Linked DNA regions of Caenorhabditis elegans. The protein of the gene in region 3 purifies or fractionates together with the protein of the main gene of each other region. This does not show direct contact. Each region holds a gene or a part of one and is shown on either strand. Other genes may lie near its edges.

Region 1 (7,912 bases), on a different chromosome or scaffold from region 3:
TTTTTCGCTAAAATAAAGCTTTGACGTTCAAAAATTTAAAACTTCCAATGGCCATTGACTGTAGTCACTAATAATATCATTCCGACATAAAAATAATCAATTTATCACTTAGTACATACTCAATAATGATAATTTCTTTTCAGGAAACCTCCCCAGAAGGCAAATTTGTCATTTTGGAAAACACACACAGAGCCAAAGAAGAGCCACTCGGAGACTGGAAGCTTAAGAGAAAGATCGACGGAAAACGCGAGATCGTCTTCACCTTCCCATCCGACTACATCCTCCACCCATTCCAATCTGTCAAGGTTTGCGAATTTCTACTTCTTTCAGAAACAAGCCTAGCTACCCAGGACCTGTCGCGTATAAAACATTTCAAATTGGTGTCTCAGAATGAAATGTGTTGTTGTCTCTGTGTGTGTGTGTCGAATTGATAATCTAATGCGCGATTGCGTTTGGGTGTGGCAAGGTCATCCGTCCGTAATGACTAAAGGGGGGGTAACTTTGCTTCGAAAAAGAAAGATTGGGGATGTATGTAGGAGAAAAAGAAGGAATAAAAAGTGATAAACAAATTGATGGAAACTGTGAAGACAAACGTTGTTCACAGAAATCAATAAAAGGGACAGATGAGATGTGAGATTATTTAGGTCAGCTTTGAAAAAAAATGTTTTCAAATAAGGTTTGAATAAGAAATGAATTTGAAAGAAGCAATTATTTATTTAAAAGGTGGAGTAGCGCCAGTGGGGATTTTGTCTAAATGCACTTATAATGATCCAAAACAACCGAATATCATAATAAAACACTCCAAAATTTTTTTTAGATTTTTCATAATTTCCGGTCAAAGTTTTGGCAAATTCCCAAAAAATTTTAAAATACTAGCTTTTGAGGAAATTCAAAGAAATGTCGCATGTTTCGACCCCTACAATGTTTTAATACAAACAAAATTAAAACATAAAAAATGTCGAAAAAAAATTTTTTTTTTGATCGACTTCCAAAATTATGAGTGGCAAAAACTGAGTAATTGCCACTTTTTGACAGTAAATAAAAAATTTAAAAATTTTTTTTGAAAAGTTTTATCAAGATGTTTGGTCATTTTTGGACCAAAGGAGTGGTTTTTAACAATTTCCCGACTGGCGCTACTCCACCTTCAATCAATTTCATACAAAACATTTTTCATAAAAAAAAAAGAAATTCAAGTGAGGTGTTTTAACATTAAAAAAACCACTGTAAAGACAAATTTCTACATTTCCAGATCTTCGCCCGCGGACAAGGAATCGCCAATCCTCCAGAAGTGCTCATTTTCGAAGGTGACGAAACATTCGGTGTTGGCGCCAACGTTCAAACAATCCTTTACAACAATAAGGGAGAGGTAATTCAACCCCCAAAAATTTACGTGCAGAATAAAATGTTATTTTTTTCTTTGCAGGAGCGCGCGACACACATCCAACGTCAAAGCCAACAAACGACATCTTCCTAAATCTAGCTTTTTGCTTGAGCTATTTACTGTTTTCTTCTCTTTGTACCAGAAATCTGAACCCCAACTCTTTGCTGCCTGCCTGTTTGCATTTTTTCCGTTTGCTATATACTTTTTCACTTTTTTGTTTCTTTTTCCTCCGGTAACTTACTCATTTTCAACAATAAATACTTTATACAGATCAAAAAATTGCCATATGGAATGTTCATTTTTCATTTGAAACATTGATAGGAAAAGTAAGGTGGGGAAATATTAAAGGTGATAACGTGATCAAGAGCAAATAAGAAAGTCAGACGAATGGCTCGGTGAGCCGTGATAAGAAGACAAGGTCCAACCCAGCGATTCTAATCAGTTAACACGAGACAAGATACATCGAAAACCCACATTCGACCTGGTGGCGGTTATTCTAAATACGAGAGCATTACTGTGACAATGGGCAGCATGTATTATAATGGTGAGTCAAAGATTAAACCTGGCTGGTTCTGTGAAATGTTTGTATTTGTTTTAAGAAATTCAAAATCTGAAATGTCTTAAAAGTCTCAATTTTTTTAAATGGCTGATAAAATTTTGAAAACCTAGCTCTTCCAGATAAAACCTAGATTTCTGCCAACATGTCACAGTTGCGGCGGTCTGAAAACATTAGTTGATGGGTGCAAAAAATACTTCTTACTCCTGAAAACAACTTAATCAACGAAAAAAGTCATAACAATAAATATATTCATTAAAAATACATAGAAAAACAGAACATTCAATAAAATTTAATAAAAATCAATTTTGGGTAACTATGACAAACATAGGTTGACAAGTTAAAAATGTAGTTTTTTGTATTTTTTATTTTTTTCAGAAATAAAAATAAATTAAATTCGATATTTTGGGGTCATTTTGACCCAATTAAAAAATTAATCCAAATTTCGCTACTACACCTGTGAGAAGTTATCATAAATTTTTTTTAAAATGTGCTTTAAATGTGGAGTAGCGCCAGTGGGGGAAATTGTCAAAAACCACGCCTATGGTCTCAAATTAATGGAATATCAAAATAAAACTATTCAAAAAATTTTTGAAATTTTTTTTTTACTCTCAAAAAGTGACAATTATTTAGTTTTTACTCAAAATTTTGGAAGTCGTCCGAAAAAAAAAAGTTTTTCTACATTGTTTATACTGTGACTGTGTTTTAATTATTCACATTTAAACATTGTAGGGGTCTAAACATGCGGCCATGCTTCGGATTTCCTCACAAGCTCATATTTTTCGAAATTTGGCCATTTGCCAAAACTTTGACCGGAAATTATGAAAAGTCTAAAATTTTTGCAGTTTTTTATTATGATATTCTGTCGTTTTGGATCATAATAAGAGCATTTAGACAAAATCCCCATTGGCGCTACTTCACCTTTAAAATGCAGATAGATCATTAACTCAAACATAAACTTACTAGTTTTGAATTTTCATTATGAATTTAGATGTTTTTTAACAAACCTATAAATGCTCACAGGAAAATACAATGCATTAGGTTTTCCAAGAAATTATAATATAATGAACTCTTTCTGAAACATACTTCAGTCTTCATGATTTCAAAATCAAATTTTCCAATTCTGACATAAAATAATCCACTGGTCAAACGTAATGATTTGATAACGCATTTCTGTTTGACAGCTTAATTTTCATTTGAACTTTCATTTTCTGAAATCAAAACTGAATACGTTTTTTCAATTTATTACGTTTTACTTGTGTAGTATTAGAACTACAAAAAAGGTTTGCAATGGATTAAAATAATTATTTTTTATCATTGTGCCTATTTTGAGAGTTTCAAATAATTATTTTTATGCTTGAAAAAATAAAAAAATAGACATTTTCATTCATCTAATTTTTGAAATTAATTTATAAATTATTAATGGTTTAAATTTTTTCTTTAACGTATCTATATCATCTTGAAATATACCTCTTAACAATCTATTTACTTTGCATGCTTCTTTTTATGATTTCTATGATTCTTTCAAAATGCAAATAATGACGTCACTTTCTGCATCAACCGGAAGAAATTATGATGATGATATTTTTTTTTCCTTCTCTAGAAGTTTTTTACCCTTTCATTACCTCTAATGGAGTTGAGAAACCAGAGCCATACTACCTTTTCCAATTTTCTTTTCAACATAAGTTTCATGTCAAAAAGTGCTTATGCAGTATTGATAAGTGTAGTGAAACTCTCTCAAAGGACTGATAAGGCCGAAGAAAAAGTCATGATCTGCTTCCCGGAAATAGCAATCGATTTTTATTGACGAGTTTTAGTTATGCTCATTAATTTATTTTTTTATTGATATCGATAAATGTTTTAATATAATTTAATTTTGAATATTTCAGAGTCGAGAATGGTGAGGAAAGATGAGGTGACATGCAATGTTATTATAGGAGATGATAAGAAAACTGTGGTAAGTTAGAGAGCATTAAGATTAATTTAAAGAGTTTTAAAAATAAATATTATCTCATTTTTTGTCCGTAAAGTATAATGTGATGCAGGGATAGGCGGAAAAAAATTTTGTCGACAAATTCGGCAAATCGTCAAATTGCCGGTTTTCCCGATTTGCCGGAGATTTTCAATTCCGACAATTTACCGGTTTGCCGAGTTGCCGGAAATTTTCTTTTTTGGCAAATTGTCGGTTTTCCGTCTGCCGGATATCAAGTTTGCCGGAAATGTCTAGAGGGATTTTTATAAGACGGAAACACATGAAAATTGGCCCTTTTTGAAACTTTTTCCCGTTTTCTTTAGCTATTTACATAGAAGTTGTTCAATTTTCAAAATATATGTTGGAACATGCGTACAATTTTTCCGATTAAAATTGAAATTCTGAAATTTTTTAAAAATGTGCAAAACCACAATTTGCCAAACATTTTTGGCAATTGTCGTTTTTCCGGCAAGTTCGGCAAATCGGCAATTTGCACGTTTTCAATTCCGGCAACTTGCAATTTATAGATTTACCGTGTTCACTTTTGAGATTTGTGTGTTCCACAAGAAATATTTTAAAGTTTACACGTTCAGTTTCAATTATAAAACATTTTTCCTGAAGACTACACGGCGAGTAACTATAATAGAAAATTACAAATTTGTCACACATGCCCAAATCAGAAATATTTTTTTAAATACACTTGACGAGTTTTCAAATAAAATTATATTTTCAGGTTTACGCGCTCCGTATCGGAAATGGCCCAATTATGCAAAAAACGTTTGAAGAATATGAAAGATTTTTTACAACTGTCAGTTTTTTCAAGTTTTTATTTTCCAACTTTTTATTGACTTTCAGGAAAAGGATATGATCCCGGCTACAATTTTCACTGCGCCGAAAAAGAAGTTCCTGCAAGCTGACAGCAAGTTCTACGAGAAAAGACGTGTTTGGATCCTTGTGATTAGTCAGCATCTTGTTGATAATAATTTAAGAAGGTAATGAGATTAATTTATGTTGGATAGTTTATAATTCTTTGATTACAATGATTACAGTGAGGATGTCCGTCGGTTCTTCCATCTCGAAAGTCCGGATGATGATGAGAATAATGTTGATCTCGGACCAAGTGAGAGGAAAACGTATGTTTTGGCCATAAGGATTTGCGGTAAATCGCCAAAGTTGCACATATTGAAGTAGAGCTCCCAGCTGAGTGATGCGCAAAATGCGGACCTCACCCCGACGCCACCGTGTGTTTGCAATGAAGTTCGAAATGTAGTTATTTGGAGCGTCCGACATGTTCGGGGTTCCGCAGCTTGGTCGTGAAATAAGTAGCTTGGTGTGTGCGCAACGTAGTGTGAAGAGATGGTTGTTTGGAAGCGGCCGACACGTTCGGGGTTCCGCGCAACATTATACATTCGCATACATCCGTCTTGCGCGACGACCTCATGGGAGACCTATATTAAATACTTTTGATTTTTTTCCCCGAACGTTTGCAATGAGCTTCTAATTTTGTTTCATCTGCTCTTAAAATAGCTACGTTACCAAGTTTTTGAAATTTTTCCAATCTTTGAAACAAGACATCCATTTTTGATTCGTTCCAAAATAGGAAGTGTTGCTTATTTTCCGAAAATTTTGGCTTTCCCATCTCATGTTGACCTATTTTTGTCGACTCAAAATTTTTCGACCAACAGTATAATTTTTATGGAAATTTTAGAAACCAGAGTTTCATATATACGTTGCAAGACTTTTTGCCTCTAGCAGTTTATTTTCAGAGCCACCGCCAATGATTTCGATTATCTGACAACTATCGGAAAAGGAAGCTTTGGAAGAGTTTACCAAGTCAGGCACAAGGAGACCAAAAAAATCTACGCCATGAAAATTCTGTCCAAGGAACATATCAGAAAAAAGAACGAGGTATTGATTAGTGTTACAAGTTTTTGGAACATAAGTAGCAAATACGTTTTTAAGGTGAAACACGTCATGGCAGAAAGAAATGTGCTCATTAACAACTTTAAGCACCCTTTCCTTGTTTCACTTCACTTTTCGTTCCAAAATAAGGAGAAGCTGTATTTTGTGCTCGATCACTTGAACGGAGGAGAGGTACCTATTCCATGTGTTTAGATTAATATAGGGAAGAATGGACTCGATAGAAAACTTATAAAACTTTCAAAATGTGGCATTTCAGCTTTTCTCTCACCTCCAACGCGAGAAACATTTTTCCGAGTCGAGAAGTCGTTTTTACGCGGCCGAGATTGCATGTGCTCTGGGTTATCTTCACGAGAAAAACATTATCTACAGGTAGCGATTTACTTGCTTTCAAAAAAAGAAACCTCTAAATTGGTTTGGCAATATGCAAATATAAATTTACATTCCAGAGATTTGAAGCCTGAAAACCTTCTGTTGGACGATAAAGGTTACTTGGTGCTCACCGACTTTGGGCTCTGTAAAGAAGATATGCAAGGAAGCAAGACAACTTCCACATTTTGTGGGACGCCGGAGTACTTGGCCCCGGAAATTATTCTGAAAAAGCCTTACGACAAGACTGTTGACTGGTGGTGTTTGGGATCGGTTCTCTATGAAATGATTTTTGGATTGGTAAGGATTGCCGAGTTGGCATAAACTTGAAATACACAATCTGAAATATTATAGCTGGTTTATTAAAAAATATGATGACTAGTTTTATAATTAGTAGTTACAACTGCAATTTTCTTCCGCTTTTCGTAGAGCTTAGCGCAATAGAACTCTGCCGACTTTTGTTCCAATGACCTTCTCTAAAAGTTTTACATAACCTATTTACCATATTTTTTCTATTAGTACAGCCCTGATGTGTAATTCAGACTAGAAACTTAAAATTGCTTCTTCTTTTGCTTCTTCTTTTTGTTCTGTGATTTTCCCAAAACCACAGAACACAAAATATTACATAGTTCAAGCTAAAATTGCTGATTTGATTTATTTCCCTGACATAACTTTCTTAATCTGCTCCCCCCCCCCCCAAAAAAGAGCAATCATTTCAGCCTCCATTCTACTCAAAAGATCATAACGAGATGTACGACAAGATCATCAACCAGCCACTTCGTCTCAAGCACAACATCTCTGTGCCATGCAGTGAGCTCATCACCGGGCTCTTGCAAAAAGACCGTTCAAAGCGTCTGGGCCATCGCAATGATTTCCGTGACATTCGTGATCATCCATTCTTCCTTCCGGTTGATTGGGATAAGCTTCTGAATCGTGAGCTTAAGGCTCCGTTCATTCCGAAAGTGAAAAACGCAATGGATACATCCAATATTTCAAAGGAGTTCGTGGAGATTCAAATTGATCCATGTAAGATATATGTACAATAATTGGCATAATTAAGGATGGTTGGGGATAGAACTGGCATATTTCCGGTCATCGCGTCCGGTTTTGGAATTTTGAGAATTTTCCGAAGGTAGTTTTTCACGGCGGCCGACAATTTCCGAGTTTAGCCACTCATTATCGAATTATGTATATGATTAAGTATAGTGAGTGGCCAAACTCGGAAATTGTCGGCCGCCGTGAAAACTACTTTTTCTGAAAATTTTTTAAAATTCCAAAACCGGACCCCAAATATGCCAGCCCTAGTTGGGGAGAAGGGTTGGTTCCAATAAGAATGTAAAAATTTGTAGTAACTAATCTTAGTTCAACGCTCTATTCAAAGTGACATCTAATATGTAGTAAGACCAAATCTTGTAATGAGAGGTCTTCAAAAATTTCATTTTTCTTCAAAAACTTCCTTTTTCTGTACGGTTTCTTTTCAAAATCAAAAAGAACAGTCTCAATATACCGAAAATGACTGCGAAAAAATTTGAAACATTTTTTTCATTTTTTTAAAAACTGTTTTCAAACTTTCCAAAACTTTTTAAAAAGCCTCATTTTTCAAGCCCACGTCTTTTGATTCCTTTTGTTTCTCGGCAAAGTTTATTAGTTTCTTTTTCGGTTTTTGATCTCATTAAAATGTCTAATTTTAATAGAAGCCCAAATAAAATATTAA
Region 2 (4,713 bases), 2.9 Mb from region 3:
AATTTTCTAAACTTTTTGAAATTAAGTTTAGTTTTCCTCCAGTCAGTGTACATTCGAAGAAATGGTCGAAGTGGAATTGACCACAAATATTGTTCTGTTCGAAGCAGTGCAAACATTGGAGAAGTGATTTCTTGATCATGAGTATTCTCGTTTTTTACAAGAACGGTAGCTAATTGGAACATTATCTCCAGCTCATTTTCTGGGCGAATATACTTTAAACGATGTTGTTCAACTCCAGAATAATCACGAACAGTCTCAATTGTAGCAACTTGAGGTATAAGTTCTTGGCAGACAGTCAAGTTAATCATGTCGTCAATACATTCCTTAACCTGTCTGATATCTTCGAGTGGCATATTATTTCGAAAAAGTTCCAGAACAATTGGCTTCAGATTGATTTCGGCATCGGTGGTGAATGTGACGTCGTCGTGGATAGATGCTCGATTCTCTGGTCTCATAATATACACGGATCTATTGAATTCCTCGTCTGTCACTTTTGATAAATTTTCTCGAAGCATCGTGATGTTTTCCTCGATGTTGTCTTCTTCCACTTAAAATATTATAACTTTTTATTAAAAGTTTTGAACATGGTGCTGTGTCAATGGGAAGTTTTGTCAATTTACCAAAACTTTGACAAACAAATCCGGGTAGTTTTTCCAGAAATTGTTTTAATTTTAAATTTTTCAGAAAATTAAATTGTTCCAGAAAGTTTCTAAAATCGTTGCCTATTCCTAAACACTCTTATAATAAGTTTGATACCGAAACCGCGAAATAGAATGGGAAAAAGAAAAAATTTGAAATTGAATAATATATTCACAAAATTTTTTAATCTCTAAACAGGCCGTAATTTTAAAAAGTGCTCAAAAACTTACGCCATTGCATTTGAAGTCTGTATACATCCCAGAACTCCTGCTCACATTGCGGGTCTGTCATATGGTAGACGTTTTTCCTTTGAAGTAGCTTCTTCACTTCACGAGCGGCATCTCGAATGTTGAACACACCTTGATCTCTCACTAAAACATGTATGAAGTTAGATCTCAAGTTTACTTTGGGGAGCAACATATTTTTACAGCATTGAAATTTGTTTTTCACAGTATTTGAAATTATTGAAAGAAAAACATGCTAACTATAAGTGTGATATTTTACAAAATTTGATAAAGTTAATTAATAAGCAAAAATCAGAACCTTACCTTTTTTGAACTTTAACCATTTCTCAAGAATATTTGAACGTTTGAATGGAGATTTCTTGTAGTAACGTAAACGGAATTGAGATCGAAATTTAAATGGTGTCACAATAAAGCAAAACCGATCCTTTCCAAGATATTTCGCCAACTTTAACAAATCAGGCGTGGCTGGTCGAATCTTCGAATGATGTACCACTGATGGTGGTTTAGAAAATGATGTTTCGGGATCTTTAAGCTCTTCTCTCACTACATCCCTGATACATTTCTCGAATGGAAGAGGAAATTGATAGGCGGCCATATACCGTTTGTAGTGCACGTCCTGGAAGATTAAGAGGTTTTTCAAATTTTTTAGTTAAAAAAAAAGTTAACTCACATTCTCCTTCGAATGCCATAAATAGTTCAAAAACTCTCCACCTCGTTTCCTATGGAAGATTCTTAATAGTCGTCGTCTTTTCCTTCTCGCCTGGTTCTTTTTGTACGTATTGGACATCTTGATCTTTTGGACGAGATCTCTATCAATTAGTCTAGCTGAAAATTTATTTTTCTAGGGAGAACCAAAGAAATATTGAGCTTACGCCACTCCCGAGGATATAAAGGGTTATACTCCCAATTACGGTGATCTGGTACCGGGATCATAAATGGATCATAGAAGTCGGCGGCAACGTGGTAGTCTGAAATAAATTAAATTTAGAATGTATGATGCATGTTGCATCGTAATCGCCCCTTTACTCGCCCTCGCACGATTCCAATTAGTTGTCATAATATTAACACATTTTCTATATATTTTTATGTATTTTTTGGATTTTAATGTCTTTTTTAGTTGACATTTTACATTTAAAAAATTGGAATTTCAACTTTAAACCATTAAAAACACTTTATTTGAAATTTTAAAAATGAAAAATATGTAAATGTTTACCAAAAAATTTGCATATTTTGAGATAATTATTTAACAGCTTCCATCTGGGCGAGGGATTTTAATTGCCTTTTCTGTCGCTTTCCTAGAGTGCGTTTTCTTGTTGCGGTTTTAATGAATATTTTTGAATATTATTTGTGTTAAAAAATGACTTCAGTTGACGACTTTTTCAAAAAAAAATTAGGTGTAAAATAATTTAATATTTTATGTATATTTTCATTCAGCTTTTGTAGAATCGAATGCTATTTCTATTTTGTTTCTATCAGTTTTTTTCAACAAAAATAAACTCACTGAGATCAGGTCTTTCTAACTCTCCATCCAGGTACAATCTACGTGCAGCGACTACAAGTTCCTGAGTGAACGTGACTTTTCCACGAATAGCTTTTCGAATTCGTAGCTCCACGGGTATGCTCTTGTCATTGACAAATGCAATCGATACACAGTTGGAGAATGGGCCATCTTCTTCAGTTGGGAGCACTATTGGTGGTTCGTCAGACATTTCTAATGCTCTGAAAATTAAATTTTAAGATTTTTAAACTTTGACAGCTTATGTCTCGCTTGTTTCACAAGATATCAAAAAGTTTCAACTAAAAAAATTGTATAATATTATTGTCTAATTTTTTGTAGTTGATAACGTTTTGATATGACTAGAAATGAGCGATAAAATTTGAAAATTTCAGAACTTTTCGAATTTTTACTTTCAAGATTTTTATTTCACATTTAAATAATATTTTTCCGTTTTTTTTCACTTCAAGTATTATATTTTAATTTTGATAAAAATTATTCACAATATTTTAAAACATAAAAACTCACTTTTTGAATAAATATGCAGAGGAAGTGATTAAATGTGATTTGGGAATCGGGATCCCCGGAAACCAAAACTTCTCATTTACCAGTGGCTCTTGTTTTTTTTCTCTGAAATTGAATTTAATCTTGAAAGCAAATAAAAAAAGAATTAATCAAAATGAGCGCGGGAAAATCTCACATTCAAAATTATAAGGCAACTAGCGTAGTTCGCAACATCTCGAGAGGGGGAGATGGAGAGAGTGTGTTAGAGATTGAGACGTAGAGATGGAAAGACACATGAAGAGGAAAGAGAAGAGGACAACACATGGGTGCATCTAGTGTTTTAGATAACTGATTTCAAAATAGGGTTATGGTAACTAGAAAAAAAATTGAGCAGAAGAAAAAAGTCTCTACATACTTTCAAATCAGAGGCCAAAAATTGAAAATTTCTTGGAAAGTTTCTTGAAAATGTCCATTTTTAAAAGATTGCAAAAAGTCAAATTTTTAAATAAAATCCCGTTTTTGAGTTCTGGCTCAAGAAAAATAAGTGTTAATCAAATCAGAAATTTTAGATTTTTAATTGCTTCAAATGATGAAATCTGCTAGATATCAGGACGAGACCCACAGAGAAAATTAACATAACTTGTCATATTTTATGGGTTATGATTTCTGGAAAGTTTAACGAGTGAGTAACTATGGAAACAGAAACTAATTGTCACAAGAGTCAGTTTTGAAAAACCTGACAAAACTAATTAACACAAAAATATGCATATACGAATCGATAGATGTAAGACTAGCATACGGACGCGCGAGCTGTTAAAAATCCACCGTATCTGGATGGCAAGTGACCTGACCTTTCTTCTGAAAACTAAACATTCATGCGTGTGAGCAAGTGGAGAGAGAAGAGTTGGTTCAGTTTATGATTTTTTGAAAGTGTAATGGAGTGAGTAACTATGGAAACATTTTGGAGATTCCCACGAGAGTGTAATACCCGAGATGTTACTTGCCAACATTTTGAAATGTAATATTAGGTCGGCAAATAATTTACTATTGACTTATTTTGTCAATTTACGATTTTTTGTAAGTTTTATATGCGTGACTTATAGTGAACCGTGAGTGTATAAAAGCATTCAATTATTAGCTACTTCGGCCTTCTAGTATAAGGATTCAAAAAAATCACTCAGTTGTCACCCAGTTGTCACTCAGTTTTTTTTAGCAGGCGGGCACTGGCAAAGTTCTCATGGTCTCTCTCGACTGCTTCCCTACATTTTATAGATAGTTACTTAAAATTTGGGTCTGATCTGTCCATAAGACGTCTTTTGAAGAGCATTTGTCGAGTTTCCTCCGAGAGTCGGTTGGCGGAGTGGATGGATGGTTGAATTACTGATTGATCCTGGGCTGTTTTGAGAGAGTCGACAAGGATCTTGTAGTCCTCATCAATATCTCCATGAGCAGGGGCAGTAATTGTTGCGCTGACAGCCAGAGCTGTAGCTTTATCCAAAACTCTTTTCGGGGGTTTTCTCCTTTTCACTTGATCTAGTTTCGCCAAATTAATGTTGAAATGGATGTTACTTTGGAGAAAACTACTTCAGTGATTCGGGGGAGGAGGTGCTTGTGACGATGAAGCCGACCCCTCCTGAAACAGAATTTGGGTTTCGAGATCCTAGAAAGATCTCGACCCCGTCGGCGCCAATTGCATGCTTTTCCGTTGCTCTTTTTGTTTCAGAGAGTCCGATAATATCGAACTTGATTCTCTTCGTCTCTTCGAGCAGTTCTGCAAGCCTGTCGTTGGAGGAGACAGACCTGCAGTTGAAAGTCGCAATTCTGGCGTCG
Region 3 (5,028 bases):
TTTCAATTTATTTCGAAAGCCGATTTTATTTGAAATGGGTAGAAATTAATGTTTTTTAAGCGGAGATTTAGTTTTAAATCATATAAATTATGGGGTTTAGTTTATTTCAAGTAATGTTACAAACTGTATTAAAATACATGCTTTTATGTATTTTAATACAGTTGTGACGTAATTACTTGAATAACCCCATTAGTTTTTAGTTTATCGTTAATGTTTTATTATAGAAGCTGATTTAAATGTAATACTTCCTTACTAGTTACTTTTAATCATTGAATGAGTAAAATTACTTTATTTACTAATTTAAATAGTTACTAACAAATCGTGATAAGTATCTTTGCTAATAAGTTTAATTTATAAAAAATAAGAATTTGAAAGCCTCGTCTTGTTCAAAAAATAATTCCGCTGTCACTATTCATTATCACGTTAATATTTACGATATATAGACTTTTCTATATTTTTCAGATTTTCTTGAAGAAAATTTGCAAAGTTTGCGAAATATTTTAAATTCTCGTTAGTAACTTAATTAAACGATTTTTTTTTTCATTTATCGACTCAGATTAACCGAAATTATAGTTTGGGAAGAATTTCGAATGTAACTATTATTTTTGAGCTTAGAATTAAGAAATTATTATAATTAACACTAGTATAGAAAAAAATTAAGCTTCTTCACTTTTGACGTAGTAAAAATATAATTACACCACCTTTTTAAAGTTGGTGCGTTAATAATGAGTACGTTTAATAATTTAATTTAAATTCTTCGTTATTATCAAAAATATATAAACTGACATGTGAAACGTGGCTTATTTTTTTTGCTTTGTTTTTTATTTGAGCTCCTCCCATTTTTTTAAAATGAACTAATAAATTAAAATTTCAACGAAAGGAAAAATAAAAAATAAGCCACGTTTCACATGTCAGTTTATATATTTTGATAATAGAGTACAATTAAATTAAATCAATAATAATTATTATTATAGAGGACTTTTAAATATATTGAAATATAATTTCCTAGCATATTTCGAAAAAGTGTCATATTTCTCTCCGAATGCTCGTATTGTTTATAGAACACAAATTCTCGTAAACCTTTTTTTTTTGTTGCGATTTCCGCATTCCGTCCTTATTACTTCTGATTAGACTATAACTAAATTAACAATAGAATATAGAAATCCGAATATAGCTATTATTTATGAACTTACCTTGTTTAATTTCACCTTTGACGTATTATTAATAAGTTATTAAAATAATTTGCGTTCATAAATAATGTTTTTAACTCAATAAGTTAAGATTTTCATGAATAAAACAAGTGCTCCATTATAGCTTATGGGATTATTCGAGTAGTGTCGCGGAAAATTGAAAAAGTGTAGAAAAATGACATCACAGCTGCTTAATTAAAATACATAAAAACATGTATTTTAATAATTTTTTTACAACATTACTTGAATAACCCCATTAGTTAAATTACGAAAATCAGAAATCCTTTTAATCAAAAGTTATAACGAGCATGATTTAATTAACTCTATAGTTATTAATTCAGTTTATTAAATTGCCCTTTATAGTGTTTAAGAACTATGTTTTAAATTGAGAAATCGATTTTTTTTTTGGGAAAATTTAATTTATTCGTGTTTAACTCCGAATTCGTCATAGCCATAGGCTTAATTAAAATGGAATGTATCTCGAATCTATTTTAATTCTGATTCTCCTGAATATTCCTGCAAGCAATAGCTTTTTGGCCGGAAATTTTAATACGTTAAAGTTGTGCTACCAGCGTTTTCTTTCAATTTATATGGATTTTCATCGAAATTGTGCCAAATTTGTCTATTTTTCACCGAAAAATCCCTATTTTTTCTCAAATTTTCCTAGATTTTCCGCATTTCTTCTCCGATTTACTCTAAAAAATTTTCCAAATTTCAGACCCAAATTTGCGCCAACACAGAAAAAAAACAAAACCGAACAACAATTTTGCACTTTGAACGACAATTTTGAAGGAAGAATGATTGCACATTAAGAAGAAGAACATCAAAAAAAAAAAATCTCCAAACAAAATTGTCTGAAAGTGATATAAAATATGAGAAGCACCACTTTTGATAAGGTTTGTTTCGAAGGAAAAAAAATCCCAAAAAATTATCGATTTTTGCAGAACTCTGGTGCTCCTGAAGAGCCGAGACGTCCGCGTGGACCGAGAACACCTGTAAGTAGCTCGAAAAAATTTTTTTTGACCACTTCCGGGGGTCGAACCCCGGAGGTGTGGGTTCCAGTCGGGCCCCTAACCGACTGAGCAACTTGCACACCCAAAAAAAAATTTCGAAAAAAAAACTGAAATCGATTTGAAATTTTGCGTAGATTTCGAATGTGTCATCAAATTTTAGTTTGGAAAATGCTGAAAACCTCTCATTATCGAAATTTATCAGTTTTGGAGTCAAAAAAGTCTAAAAAACTTGATTGTCTAATCAAATACCCAATTTATTTTGTGATGAAACACGGAAAACACTCTACAAAAAATAATGACCACAGCTGGGGGTCGAACCCCAAACATTTGGGTGCCAGCCGGGCCACTAACCGACTGAGCCACTTTTGCACCAAAAAAAATTGTTTTTTTCAACAAAAAAAAAAGAATTCGATCTGAATTTTTCCGTAGGTTTCGAATTTGAAACCAAATTTTAGTTTTTATAAGGCCGAAAACCTCTAATTCTCGTAATTTCTCAGTTTTAGAGCAAAAAATGCCTAAAAATCGACGACTTTTGGACTTGAAAGAACATAGTTTCACCGGAAATCTCGATAGAAATACGAAGTTTTGATGTAGAAATGCCAAAAAAACTCTACAAAAATTATGAGCCACAGTGGGGGTCGAACCCCGGACGTGTGGGTGCCAGTCGGGCCCCTAACCGACTGAGCCACTTGTGCACCCAAAAAAAAATTTTTTTTTGTTGAAAAATTACCATTCGAACTGAAATTTGACGATAAATTCGAAAATTTTGTTAATTTTTGTATTTGAGAACACAGTGAAAACCCAATTTTCGACATAAAACCGCAAAAAAAAATCGATTTTTACAGGACGGAGAACCCACAGAAGCCAACGAAAGGCCGTGCTCGTCGAGCTCATCACTGAGCAATGATTCGTTTGTTCCAGCACCACAAGGACCTCAGAAGTAGGCGATTTTTTTTTGGTTTTTCGGCTGAAAATTGGCCTAAATTTTTGAAGCTGAAATTTGACCTATTTTCTGACATTTTTCTTTAGAAAATTCCAATTTTCACCCAAAAATAGCTGAAAATCTCTGGAAATTATTATTTTGAAAAAAAATTCCCCAATTTTCAGCGGACACACGAGCAGCAGCCATGACAATGATTATAGTGAATACCGCCCACGCCGTGGGCCTAAAACTCCGCCTCTTCCACCGCCGGATGAGCCTGTAAAACAGCAGCAACAGCAGCAGCCAATTGTTGCTCCATATTCCTATTATCCAACGTGAGCATTTTCTTTTTTAAAATTTCGAAAAAAAATTTTTTTTTGGTAAAAGTTTTTTTTTTGACGAAAAAACTTAAATTTTTTTTTCGTATTTTCACTGAAAATTTGAATTTTAGGCGAAAACTTGAAAAAAGTTCAAAATTATTTTTTTTGCTTTGGGGAGCAAGTGGCTCAGTCGGTTAGCGGTCCGACTGGCACCCACCCGTCCGGGGTTCGACCCCCGACAGTGGTCATTAATTTTTGTAGAGTCTTTTTTGGTGTTTCTAATGCTTTTTAAGCTCTTTTACGCAGTTTTTATACTTTTTTTCTAAAAAAATTCCAAAATTTCACTTAAATTTTGAATTTTCAAAAATTCAAAAATTCCAACAAAAAAAAATTTTTTTTCAAAAATTATTTTCCTGAAAGTATTTTAAGCACCACTCTTCCGCAATTTTCACAAATTTTTCCATAAAAAATTTGAAATTTCACGTAAATTTTGAATTTTAAGCCAATATTTTTTGGGGGTCTTCAAATTTAGAGCTCTAAAATTCCCAATGTTTTCAGATACGGCAGCTCTACAGGATATCCGTATCCGTATCCGACGATGATGATGCCACAACAAGGAATTCCTGGTAATTATTGATTTTTGCAGTACTTTAACGATTTTGGAGCATGAAAACTAGGCGTTTTTTGGTTTTTTCGGCCTGAAATTGAGCCTCTAAAACTGAGGATTTTGACACAATTCATCTAAAAATTTGAAATTTTCAGAATTTTTCTAGTTAAAACTATTGAAATTGAGCTTAAGCCCGAAAATCTAGTTGAAAAATTGACATTTTTCTCATGTTTAAGCTAAAAAACCACCGAAAATCTCAATTTTTGTCATAAATCAGTTGGAAAAATTCGCATTTCTGCGATTTTTCCCAACTTTAAAGCCCTTTACAGTCATAAAAATTGGATTATTCGACCAAAAAATTTCGAAAAATCGAAAATTTCCAGCTAACGAGCCTGAAAATCCTTAGAAAAATCCGATTTCTTCAGGCTTTTCAAGCCTAAACCTAAAGCCTAAAAAGAACCTTCAAGCCTAAAAAAAAGAGAAGCTTCCAATTTTCAGGCCCTTCCCAACATCCGGCGACACCATCCTACTACATCCAACATCCACCACCACCATCAATGTCCAACGGCGCCCCATACTATCCACACATGAATCCATCGCCGTACTATCAACCTCGTCCGAACTATGTCACTCAACCACCTGCACCCATCATTCCACCACCACAACCACCAGTGATGACTGCCTCGGCGGCTGCGGCTGCCTACCGCGATCGCCTACCTCCACCGCCTCCGAAGCCTCCGATGCCTGATCTAAGGACCAAAGAGCCAATCGGAATCCGTAGCTGGAATGGATCAGGCATCCCACCTCCGCCGATCCTTCCACCAGTTGCTTGTCTATCGTCGACGATGTCACCCGGGATGCTGAGATCCCCAGTGCCGAGAGAACGATTCAATAGTGTGGAGAGTAATGGATCTTTTAGCCTTCATCCACCACCACCAGTGCCACCACCCGCGAAGAAGCCACTGAACATGGATGT

The links. Proteins that work in one complex are often made in the same cells at the same time.
Region 1: the proteins of dpy-21 (region 3) and sgk-1 purify together in Caenorhabditis elegans (affinity purification with western blotting, with the first as the bait; one study listed by BioGRID). This does not show direct contact.
Region 2: the proteins of dpy-21 (region 3) and sdc-3 purify together in Caenorhabditis elegans (affinity purification with western blotting, with the first as the bait; one study listed by BioGRID). This does not show direct contact.

The regions. Positions count from the first base shown.
Region 1 is NC_003284.9:16,256,043-16,263,954, reverse strand, and holds the start of sgk-1 (Serine/threonine-protein kinase sgk-1), read left to right. Parts: upstream 1-1,903; coding exon 1,904-1,925; intron 1,926-3,826; coding exon 3,827-3,894; intron 3,895-4,642; coding exon 4,643-4,717; intron 4,718-4,764; coding exon 4,765-4,901; intron 4,902-4,958; coding exon 4,959-5,042; intron 5,043-5,675; coding exon 5,676-5,817; intron 5,818-5,871; coding exon 5,872-6,003; intron 6,004-6,088; coding exon 6,089-6,201; intron 6,202-6,278; coding exon 6,279-6,498; intron 6,499-6,917; coding exon 6,918-7,224; intron 7,225-7,912. Other genes in the region: mua-6 (Intermediate filament protein ifa-2), read left to right, coding at 144-305, 1,250-1,366, 1,424-1,474. UniProt on the Caenorhabditis elegans protein: Acts downstream of PI3 kinase age-1 and kinase pdk-1 in the daf-2/insulin receptor-like transduction pathway. Essential role in regulating development, stress response, and longevity.
Region 2 is NC_003283.11:15,045,199-15,049,911, forward strand, and holds the start of sdc-3 (Zinc finger protein sdc-3), read right to left. Parts: upstream 3,010-4,713; 5' UTR 2,908-3,009; intron 2,604-2,907; 5' UTR 2,594-2,603; coding exon 2,386-2,593; intron 1,853-2,385; coding exon 1,757-1,852; intron 1,710-1,756; coding exon 1,555-1,709; intron 1,501-1,554; coding exon 1,188-1,500; intron 1,011-1,187; coding exon 870-1,010; intron 548-869; coding exon 1-547. UniProt on the Caenorhabditis elegans protein: Component of the SDC complex that functions in sex determination and in X chromosome dosage compensation specifically in hermaphrodite (XX) animals.
Region 3 is NC_003283.11:17,946,063-17,951,090, reverse strand, and holds the start of dpy-21 (Lysine-specific demethylase 9), read left to right. Parts: upstream 1-1,897; 5' UTR 1,898-2,062; coding exon 2,063-2,086; intron 2,087-2,134; coding exon 2,135-2,185; intron 2,186-3,048; coding exon 3,049-3,143; intron 3,144-3,310; coding exon 3,311-3,460; intron 3,461-4,003; coding exon 4,004-4,071; intron 4,072-4,550; coding exon 4,551-5,028. UniProt on the Caenorhabditis elegans protein: Histone demethylase that specifically demethylates dimethylated 'Lys-20' of histone H4 (H4K20me2), thereby modulating the chromosome architecture. Promotes chromatin compaction by converting H4k20me2 to H4K20me1 leading to transcriptional repression.